2 linked regions of the Drosophila melanogaster genome follow. The protein of the gene in region 2 purifies or fractionates together with the protein of the main gene of each other region. This does not show direct contact. Each region holds a gene or a part of one and is shown on either strand. Other genes may lie near its edges.

Region 1 (6,143 bases), 8.1 Mb from region 2:
TTCATAGGAAAAACATTGACGTACGTGAAAATTGAAATTTACATGTTGATTTTGCCAGTTGGTTTTAGTGGCTCCGAGACTCACAGCTGCTGAATCGGCTTGGATCAGCTTGGAGTTGGGTGTCCAACTCTTTCCCGACATAACGACCGCATTTGGTAGTGCTAGAGTTGTTGTCGCTGTGTTGTAATCACTTTTATGCATTTCCATTTCCCTTTTAATTATCTTTGGCGTCATGAATCGCACGCACCAGTCTAGACTGAACCAGATTTCGAAAGCTCATCGGTCGGGGCGAGAGTTATTGGGTTTTGTTTTGGCGTAGCTCGACCGATTCCAACTGGTCTGCCTTAGTAATTGGGATTTACCCCTGTCCAGGTGGACAATTCGGACAGCTTGCTGGGGGTTTTAAGGCGACCACCATTGGCGGTCGTCCGCACTTGGAACTGATCTCGCTAATGGAGCGCGGTGCAGCCCGAAATTACTAGTATGGTGGGGCAAACAATAATTGGCCATAAAGCCAAAATACACTTCATACCCTCGTATAATTATGAGCATTTTACGACTCTGACGCAGGCGATTCTACTGATTGGCTGGCTCGGTGGATCAGCTCCGCTCCGTCTCGTCTTCGAGGTCAATAAATCACCAGCGCTGACTCTTCACCTGTGACATAACTCTCGTGCCAATTAAACAAACAACTTTTAGCTTGTCCGCGGTGATTAACATTTAAATTGGGGCATCCTTAGCCCCGAGCGCTGGGGGTTCGTATTGATTTATGTAAATCGCGAGAGTCCGATCGGAAAGGAAAAAAACTCCCGGACGCTATGCGCGGCGGAGGGCTTAACGGGTCCAACAGGTCCCAAGTTGCCGAGGGGCCAAGGGTATCTTACCTTGAAGTCGGACAGGGCATCAGCACTGAAACCAGGGAAGATCATGCGACATGTGCAAAAGTTCAGGTTCAGGAAGGAGAAGGAGAAGTAAGTAAGGCAAACAAAAGTAAACAAACCACAAAATCCACAACGGCGGCTCAGAGGCTGAAGAAATACTAACAATAAAAAGTAAATGCACAGATTGTATAAAACGCAAAATAAATCTTCAGTACGTGCCCAAGTTTTCAGTGTCACGCCGCACGGCATAAGAGGCGGGGCGAATCAAACAGAGCCGCGACCTCAAATTGCCTGGTTGGCGACGAAGGCGGAGGCGGCAGAGGAGCGCTTGGACCTGGCCGTCTGACTGGCTGACAGATAAGGTGAAATGAGGCACATTCAATTTTCCACTAAATCGTATATTGCGTAACGGCGGACTACTGATAGTTCATCAGTAGCGACACCTCTACCCTAAATCTAAATCTTGCATACATATATACACGGGTCCAGTCCAGAAAGTAAATCACTATTTGACTGCCACGTCGGGGGAAGCACTAGTGGCCTGGAACTTGGTCTCTAGAGCGGTGACCGTGCCCAAATCGCCACATAACTTCCGGAAGAGGACCACATAGCCGAGGTCGCCGCAGGCCACTCGAATTGCCTTTAGGACACTCCACAAGGCCAGGACCAGAAAAAGAACCATGCAATACGGCTGTATGTGTTGGACAATGTTGACGTTGATCCACATAAGGGAGGTCACGAAACCGGGCAGCTGTCCCATTTCCTGAGTGGGACTAGAGAGTAATCATATGCACTCCTATTGCAGCGGGAAAGTACTTACGAACTCATACCAAAAACTGGGAATCATCATGTTGCTAAACCGGCTTAGGCGTGAGCTAAACCTCCTGAGATCCGGAATAGGAATGTTGGACTGGAAGCGGTATTTCTCCGTAACCGGAATACCAGTGACCGGCTCCAGCAAAATGTATGGCTCGTGATCCTCGGCGTTGGGTGTGTATCCTTCGTAGTGCTGGCTCCAGTTGTAGCTGCTTCCGTAAAAGTGTGGCATCGAAAACGCAGAGGGGGCGTCATCTTGGGGGTAAGAATGTGTTCGATTTACCTTAGGAAACCTGTCGTTTTAGGGACGTAGAGCCGTACTTATCACACACTGGGATACGTCAAACATTCCGTCGGGTAGCTTGACACCGTAGCTTGTGTCCAGGCAGCCGGGAGGCTTTTGATGTGACTGAAGCAGAGTGTAGCGGAAGGTATCAAGGCCGTTGTAACGCTCCTGACGCTGGTAGGTCAGCGGAAGGACCCGGCAGGACTCGATAGCCACTATGCTCAGCGGCGTATCCGGCTGGACAAAGGGAGGAAAGAGAGAGTTGTCCAGCGCTCCGGAAACGTTAAAGGGGCAAGAGTTGGAGTCGTACTGACGGGTGTGCGGAAGTTGTTCCCGGATGATCACCTCGCCGTTAAGCGTCTCGATGCGGAAAAAGTTTTCAATGCCGCGCTTAGGGCCGATGTTGACTGTGTAAACCTCTTCCTTCTCTTTGAGAGCCTGCGGAAAAAATCTTAGCGGGGAACCAACAAGGAAGTCTTCAGGATAGTCAAGGGGCTTACGTTGTAGAGAACAGCGACGTTGGGTCTTATGTTCGAGATCCTGGAGAGCGTTTGCAGCAGGGGACGGGTGAACTCCCACAGGAAGTAGTATACGCTGTCTGTAACAAATATATCCTCCATCATGAGCGCTGCATCAAAACCGAAGGCTGCAAGTGGCGCCGTATGCTTGACTTTCGTCGCTGCGCCCAGGATAACGTTGTTTGTGGAGGTAATGGTCCAGTTAAGGACGTCGGGTGCTACGCTTTCCTCCGGGAGGAATTCCACTACGCGGTATCTGTGCTTGCGATACCTAACGTTGGTCTCGTTGCGATCTAAGATGTCGTTGAACCCCACGATTCTGTACACAATGGGGCCGATCTCCTTTACCTTAAGTCTGCTATCACGACCGCTGCGAAACTCCTCGGCGTTGGTCACGTTGAACACATAGTTTTTCAGCTTCCCGAATGGCGAGTTTATCCAACTGTCCATGGTGGGCATCTCCTGGCGGAAGCGTATATGCTCCCTAGCTACCAAGATGCGATAGTCCACTCCCCAAGACACCACGAAGAGGAATACATTGACGCACGCAAGGATCAGGCAAAGCAATATTTTCACCCACTGAACCGACTTCATTTTTTACTAAGGGCGGCTTTGACGGAAACCAGAGACGGGAGTAAATCGCGTCCGATCGAGGGAAAACACGCGATCCGTTTGAGTTAAATTCTAAGCGCTTTCGGCAATGGCCGTGCAATCACTTATCATCGAATAGCAGAAAGGTTATCACCAAAGCAGCGGTGCTTACTCTGCCAACACTGGAAATAACGGTGATAACGGCGGACCTCTAACCCGAGCATAGAAAATGGCCATAACGCAGATTGCCCTCCAGGGAGGAGGCACTACTGCACAGACTCCAGAGATGCCCGTCTTCCCGGATGGACCTCACCGGGATAGCATCGACCTTGATCGGGAGCAGGTGTTAATGACCAACCATTGAACAGGCGACTCTGCCCTGGGGTTTTGGCAAATTCGAGCTTATCAGGCACAGACAGATCACTCTGCTCTTATCGGTCCCGCGGGCAGCGAAACGTGCAACGAAACAAATGACTCGCCATTAACGTCTGTCTGATCCTCCCTGAGCTCGGAATCTCGTATTTATAGCTAATATTGCCATTACTATGCTTCAGAATCCGGTCTGGTCCATCTACGAAGTGCGATGTGAAAATTGAAAGTGAAAGTACTATAAATTTAATATAAAGGTTAATGGGTGCCCTAATTTTAGGTCGTAAAAATTAATCTTTTAATGTGACATGTTATAAACTATCGAAATGATGTAGCAGCCAATCCATTCATGACCATTTATTTAAGAAAGGGACTTACAGGAGATCTCATACTAGCATTTTAATGGTGTTGATTTGGTTATATATATATATAAATATATATATATATATATGTTTTGCAGTTTAAATGTTGCAGTACACGTTTGAAACAACTTTATATTATTAACTTCCCTGGTTTGAAATTTCTTGGTATTGCATACTTTTGGGATTGTGCACGAAATTCATAATTTAGGCCACCTAAAATTGTAGTTTTAAACTATATTATAATTCAATGAGGTGAATTATAATATAACTTAGTTATATACCATTCTGATAACCATTTATAATACGTAGTAACGTGCTTTTTATGAATGTATCCCCGACAACCATACAGAATTATTTTTCCGTGCAATTGGAAATTAAGTTTGTCATTCATCATTCTGGATAGGAACGAATTGTAAAAGGCACATCAATCATATATATGTACACATGTATATGGATTCGAGAAGATTACGGCCAATCTCTAATTATAATATCGTGATTTATTGTACACATTAATGAATATAAATTGTACATTAGATCGATAAAGTTATGTATTTATAGAATATAAATTTCATATGCGGAACATGCCCAGCATTTGGTCTTATAAAGCACATTTGTATTCGAGGACGGAATTTTGTTTTATTTGAGAAACGTTTCGAGTTTTGTGACTTGATTGTACATACAATTTCATTTCAAGAGGGTTTAAGAAAGCAAGAACAGGATCGATTGCTGTTTTGGTATAACAAATATTGTCTAAGTCGAAGCTTTGAGCCTTTAAGCGATCACGACTGTTTCGTTAGACTACACTTCAAAATTTTTATAACGCTTACTTACACAGATAACCTACATACAATACAATAGATACAGATACACATACAAATACATACAAGTCTTCCCAGCTCCATTTCTTTTAAACTACATAGAAGCACATTCCTCCGCGGGGAATGGGATTAACATAGGGAGGTCGGATTGGGTATCGTTATAGGGATTGGGGGTGGAAGTGGAAGTGGGCAGGTCCCAGTTACTAGCTACGGCTTATACTATTACGAAGTCACCCGAAGACACTCGTACTGCGACCAGACACCGACTAGAGCGCCTAGTATCTGGCGGGTTGGTTATCCTTGTTCTGCTTCTTGTTCATGTCCACCTGGGCGGTGGCCAGATAGTTGGACCCCTCCAAGTGCAGGGTGCTTTGCCGGTGCGAGTTGCGGATCAGGCAGAAGGTCGAAAGCAGTAGTAGGATCACACCAAGCGCGCATAGACCGACGATTAGCGCCACGCGGATCTTAGGTGGCACTTGCTCCGCAAAGCGCATCAGGTCGGTGACCTCGTCGGGAAGGTTGTCGATGCCCTCCTCGAACCAAAGGATGGGAAAGATGATGTCCGGGAAGTTGGCTACCTGCTTGATGTCAAACACTTGGCTAACGGCCAAATTGATCTGGATACGGGCGCGTACTCTCAAGGTAGTTCCCATTTTCTGCGAAAAAATGTTGTAAGTATACGTCTGGGAGATAGATCTTTTTATTGGGTCTTACAGGCTGAACGTCGAAGAAAAACTGATGCTTCTCTTTCATAGGTGGCGAAATACCTTCTACTTGCGTCCTCAGGCTTTCATCGGCCAGGTAGAAATGAGGGAAGCTTAGCATGATGGGAGAGTCTGCAGAGAGCGTTACTTTTGAATTTGATCGGTAATGGTATCCCGCATTCATTCTTACCGTATTGACACAACGACACGTTGAAAAGTCCGTTGGGGGAGCATGACGGCTTGCCCGCGGGACAGAAGCACATGTTGTCCGGGTGGCTGTCCACATCGGCGAAAACCCACTCTGGTGGGGTGAACCGGTATCCAGGCACCTCGTTTGAAGTCATTACTTCTTTCTCAAACACCAAGGGCAGGAGCCGGCAAAGATCTTTGTCGTAAACATGCAGGATGCGATCGTGGTCAATGTGTGGGGGGAAGATGGAGCCATCGGTTCCGGCCAAAGTATTGCATGCGTCGGTGGTCCAATGGGGTAAATGGGTGCGACCGTTGAAGTTGTCAATGATGCCGTATCTCCTAATGTCATCGACACCTGTGTTCACAGTTACTCGGTCGGAGGAGGTGCCGTTCTTGCCATACAGCAGGCCAAACTCCTCGTAGGGCAGCTTTTGCTCCTTGGGAACGACATCCTTCGCTAGCTTGAGCAGAGGATCCTCGTAGCCCCAAAGCAACTGACCCACGGACACCTGAACGAATGGCTTGATCTTCAGTATGTCCATGATACTGGCCATGGCTAGACGCAAGAATCTGAACCAAGAAATTCAGGGTTAATAATGGGGACAC
Region 2 (5,153 bases):
GTTTATATGCTAGAGCGCACGTCGATCTGCTGGAACGAATTAAGGCAGTTGGTCAGCTGCGTCTGGTACTGGTAGCTCAGCTCGCCCTTGCATCCATAGCCGCCCAGCTTGTGGATGGCAGCAAAGTCGTAGCAATCGATGGCGTTGTCTCCATTGCAGTCCTGGCCGAACTTGGTCATGTAATTCTGGATCGTGTTGGCCGCGCAGTAGGGATCGTTCACGCAATTGGCATACGCTGCAGCGAGATTAATGTGCATCAGATGTATGATAAGGTTTATTGCATAGGTAATGGATGGGACACTCACCATCCTCCGACTGGGGACTCTCGTTGCCCAAGGTCAGCTTGCCGCCGTCGGCCCAATATGCCCAGGTGATGCGAAACAGGCCGCAGACTCCGCCGCCGCAGTAACGTGTCTGGTTGCATCCACTGATGGCCTCGCAGATGCATCCCAGGCACACATCAGTCACCGGCTTATCTGTTTCGGGTTTAAAGATCATTCAAATCAAATCAAATCAGTTCAGTTCATTTTTATTTTTATTTTATTTTCCAGATTAGCCTCAAAAGAGCGTTAGCAGTGCAGATTTGCCCAGATCATGTCATCGCTTTATTCAGAGCATTTGGTAATGTTTTGAATTTTTAAGAGTTATAACAAGTTGAAGACTTTGAAATTTTAGCAGCTCACAGAAAAAAGTAGTAGGAAACTAATTAAACAAAAAATCCAGTTGACCAATTTGGTTTAGGTGTCTTATCTTGAACTTGTTAAAAATTCTTTTAAAATTTCTTACGTTCATTATTATAAATTCCAACCGAAGAGATTTCCGTGTAAAATAACAACAGGTACTACAATAAAACTAATCCTAGTGTGTTATCTGTGTTTCCCCGGTGCGAGCGGGTTCATAAATTTCAAAAATTCAATAAAATTATAAAATATATCCAAGAAACGAAAAGCAATTCCGTTGCTTGCACGCCCATGAACCTGAAATCCATCGGCCTCACGTTCCCATCCCATTTTGTATCGAACTAGTTTTGCAACTTTCAATGGAAACATTGAAGCATCTCCGTAGAACAAAATCTGGCAGCGCGTAGGCGAGGATGAGTCAATTAATCGGCGTTATCAAGACCTTGTTCTTGTAATTAAATTTTGTATTTTTAACGAGTATCGGCATTTTGCCAATTTTGCGAAAAGATCGAAAGAAGCGTGAAGCACAGCATGTCATCTAGCCTTCTGGCTCACCCACACACACGAGCAAAACTCTGAGGTTTCTGAGTTCAGTGACCTATGCAAAGTAATCTTCAAAGGCATAAAAATTGGGTCAAGATTAAAGACCTTTTATATATTTCCACCTTTCTAAAACATATCATATCAGTGCATATTTTAGTTTATATAAACACCTTTTCACGGGGTTTTCCTGACCCAGAGATAACCCACACGCAGCAAATTGTCACGAAAGTGGGATTTTTTGAGGTCTAACAATGGAGTACCGATGTGCACCGCAAAATACTGTTCCGGATTCGGGGAAATCTCCAGTAAAACTACATCCTTTTCGCGAATAATGCAAAAATAACGACTGATTGATTTCTGCTAATTACCCATTTAGACAATTAATTTATTAAACAGAGAAGCAAAGAGTTCACTTCAAATTACTGCCAACGATTAATAGATGATTTTCAAACTTAATACCAATTAATTTCCGCCAATGTAATAGATGTATACTAATCGGAAGTAATTTCAATGGCAATGATGCGTTATTGAAAACTAACGATGTCAACGGCCCGTGTTTTAGATGATGGATGGTCGATTATGGAATCTGAAACCGATCAGAAATCCCCGAGTTTAAATGGACGTTTGTCAACCTCCAGATACTTGTCGTATGCAAATGGCGACAAACACGATGGATGGATAAATATATCTGGGAAATCCGCTCAAGAACGAAACATGTCTTGGCGCAGAACAAAAGACTCAAATATCTATACAATTGCTAATTAATGTTAATGAATGCAGACGATCAGGTATTTGTATATTTCGTGTTAAAAGCAAATCTCAGCAAATGCGTAACAAATACGTCTCGCGAACAATAACAAGAACGGAAATGTTCTCGCCTATATAATGTAAATATATAGTTTTCGATGTATTTAACTCACCCTGAGCTTGAATGAGGGCTGCGAATCCCAGACACAAAAGAGCGCCAATAGCCAAAGTGCAGCACAATTTGTTGGCAGCCATTATAAGCAGTACTTGTGTCCGAAAAATATTTGTTTGCAAATGCAATTTGAAAAGTCACTGAACAGTATCACAACTATCTGTAAACAACCGACCTCTATCGAGCTGCCCGATCAACTGAGCTGAAAGTGCTACGAGCTTCGCTTTTTTGTTGACAAAAGCTCGCCGAAAGCTTCAAAACGGAAGACTTAAGCTGAGAACTTGAGAGAGCCAGCAAGCCAACTAAAGAGATTAGAGATTTTTACCGATTATAAAAGTATACTTTTTGGTGAAAATTACAAAATTTCAATCATTATTCCAATAAAACTGATGTGTTTTTACAATCTGAATTATGATTGGCTTATTGCAGCTTTCATGTGAAATATTTTATTTAAATATGAAGACAACTATATTTGCTTAGTTCGCTTTGCTCAAGTTTATTGTTAATATAAGAATCTCAGATGTTTAGATCTTGTTGAAGGCAGCAATGTCGACAGACTGAACAAAGTCCTCGAACTCCTCGATCTTCTCCTGCAGCAAATCGATGGACACCTTGTCGTCCTCGATGACGCACATGATCTGCAACTTGTTGATGCCATAGCCGACTGGGACCAGTTTGGAGGCGCCCCACAGCAGACCGTCCATTTCGATGGTGCGGACATTGTTCTCCATCTCCTTCATGTCGGTCTCGTCATCCCAGGGCTTGACATCGAGGAGCACCGACGACTTGGCAATGAGGGCGGGTTTCTTAGACTTCTTGGCGGCGTAAGCGGCAACTCGCTCCTGCTTGATGCGCTCGGCCTCCTCGTCCTCCTCGTCGTCGGATCCGAATAGATCCACATCGTCGTCATCGTCGGCGGCGGGCTTGGCAGCAGCAGCCACTGTGGGCTTTCCACCGGCCAACTGGGGCAGAGGAGTACCCGACCAAGCGGCACGCTCAGCGGCCTCAAAGGAGGCGATGTGGCGGTACCAGCGGGCCACGTTCACATTGTCGGCAGAGGGGGCCTTGCCCAGAGCATCGAACACGGACAGATCGGCCTTGCTGGGAGTATATCTAATGGGAGTATAGTAATGGGTAGAAAATTATTCGATCAATACATCTGCCGACGTGGTGAGGTCGTACATAACCTCACATTTAATGACGCGTGCTTACCCGCTGATGTAGCTGTTGTCGGCCAGGAAGGCGTTCAACTCCTTCAGTCCCTGCGGGGTGGTCACATCACCGAATGCCATTTTAAATGCGTTTTTGTGGGGTAAATTCGCGTTTAACAAATCTGGAGCCGTGCTCTGCGCAACGTTGCCGACGAAAGAAGAACAGAGTGACCTTCGCGGGAAACGGTCTTTAAACATATAATGAAAATACTGACTTTTTCCTAGTATTTCAAGTAGTTGCAACACAGGGTGACCCGGAGTTTGAGTAAATATCGTTCAAATATACCATACATTCAAATAGATTTTTAACGCTTACTTGTATTTTTTTTAATAAAACATAAGGATTATAATTAATACCTTATACTTAAGCTAGCTATTGGCTACGTAAATTTAAGGCCAAACAATTACATTTAATATTCTGAAAAGGAAAAAAATTGTATAGAAATTGTATGCTTCTACTTTGTAACTTGTGAAAACAATATGCATTTCCTTGGGCAAATTCACACAAATTGGGAGCTTGGGCTTAATAGAAATTAAGTTTAAGTAGATCCTTTACTTTCAAATAAATTCATATAAGTCATTGAATATTTAATTTAACACAAATATACCAAAAGCGCGGACTAAAACCGTGAATATCTTATGCGCAGTGTTACCGTTGCAGTGAAAATCATGAGGGTGAAAAAACGCCTCCAATCAAGCTATAATGCTACACAATTTTTTTGCAAACGCATAATTTTCACTGAAAAGCCGAAAGAAAAATTAAAAAAAAAAACGTAGAAGCGCATGAAAAAAACGGCTCAACAATAAGGCAGAGTAGACATTCGAAAGCCACTTAAACAAATGCCATAGGAAGCGTTTATAGTATTTCCTCAGCATTTGTGAAAAAATCGTCGCTTTCGGCTATTGAATTTTCAACGCGTGCGGTCAAACAGAACAAAAAAAAAACAAGTGGTAACCATAAAGAACCGAATTGAACCTATTATAAACCCAGAACTATGAGCGACTTCCAGCAACAAGGCATCAATCAATCGCAGGCACTCGCGCAGGCAATTCAGCGTGCCAAGCAGGTGAGTTCCCACCACTTGGAAGAGGAAGAAGCGGAAGTGGGCATTGATTCGGCTTCTTTTGCCCCAATCCCCAAACCAGATCGCAGCCAAGATCCAGCCCAGCCAGCAGGGCGGCGGCACAGCGGGTCCATCGCCACCGTCTTCGGGTGGAGGGCCTGGCTTTAAGCGTATCAACGACGACGGCGACAGCGGTCCGGAATCCAAACGCTCCTTGGGCAGTCCGGAGTACGCCAACAACAGCTCCAACATGAGCAGCGGTAGCGGGGGTGGTGGTGGCGGCGGCGGAGGTCCCGGCGGTGCCAGTATTACTCAGGCAATCGCCCAGGCTGCTGCGGTAGCCGCTCGTTTGGCCGCCTCGGCGGGAACAAGCTGTGAGGAGCAGATCCGTCTGCCCGAATCGGTAGCCGGCGCCTTTATGGGTCGCTCCAGTAACGACACCATCACCCACATCCAGGCCGAGTCCGGTGTAAAAGTGCAGGTCATGCAGGATCAAGATCGCGTTATCATGTTGCGTGGTCAAAGGGATACAGTCACTAAGGGGCGCGAAATGATTCAGAACATGGCCAATCGGGCTGGCGGGGGACAGGTGGAGGTGCTGTTGACGATCAATATGCCGCCACCGGGACCTAGCGGGTATCCACCTTACCAGGAGATCATGATTCCGGGCGCCAAGGTGGGCTTGGTCATTGGCAAGGGCGGCGATACCATTAAACAGCTGCAGGAGAAGACCGGA

Evidence for each region. Proteins that work in one complex are often made in the same cells at the same time.
Region 1: the proteins of eEF1beta (region 2) and CG2736 purify together in Drosophila melanogaster (affinity purification with mass spectrometry, with the first as the bait; one large-scale study listed by BioGRID). This does not show direct contact.

The regions. Positions count from the first base shown.
Region 1 is NT_033778.4:24,972,164-24,978,306, forward strand, and holds CG2736 (uncharacterized protein), read right to left. Parts: upstream 3,179-6,143; 5' UTR 3,096-3,178; coding exon 2,484-3,095; intron 2,422-2,483; coding exon 2,019-2,421; intron 1,953-2,018; coding exon 1,702-1,952; intron 1,645-1,701; coding exon 1,387-1,644; 3' UTR 1,268-1,386; downstream 1-1,267. Other genes in the region: emp (epithelial membrane protein), read right to left, coding at 4,917-5,297, 5,356-5,477, 5,536-6,107.
Region 2 is NT_033778.4:16,866,593-16,871,745, reverse strand, and holds eEF1beta (eukaryotic translation elongation factor 1 beta), read right to left. Parts: upstream 3,525-5,153; 5' UTR 3,435-3,524; coding exon 3,355-3,434; intron 3,256-3,354; coding exon 2,667-3,255; 3' UTR 2,466-2,666; downstream 1-2,465. Other genes in the region: CG6426 (uncharacterized protein), read right to left, coding at 3-235, 306-476, 2,144-2,225; Psi (P-element somatic inhibitor), read left to right, coding at 4,349-4,420, 4,500-5,153. UniProt on the Drosophila melanogaster protein: EF-1-beta and EF-1-delta stimulate the exchange of GDP bound to EF-1-alpha to GTP.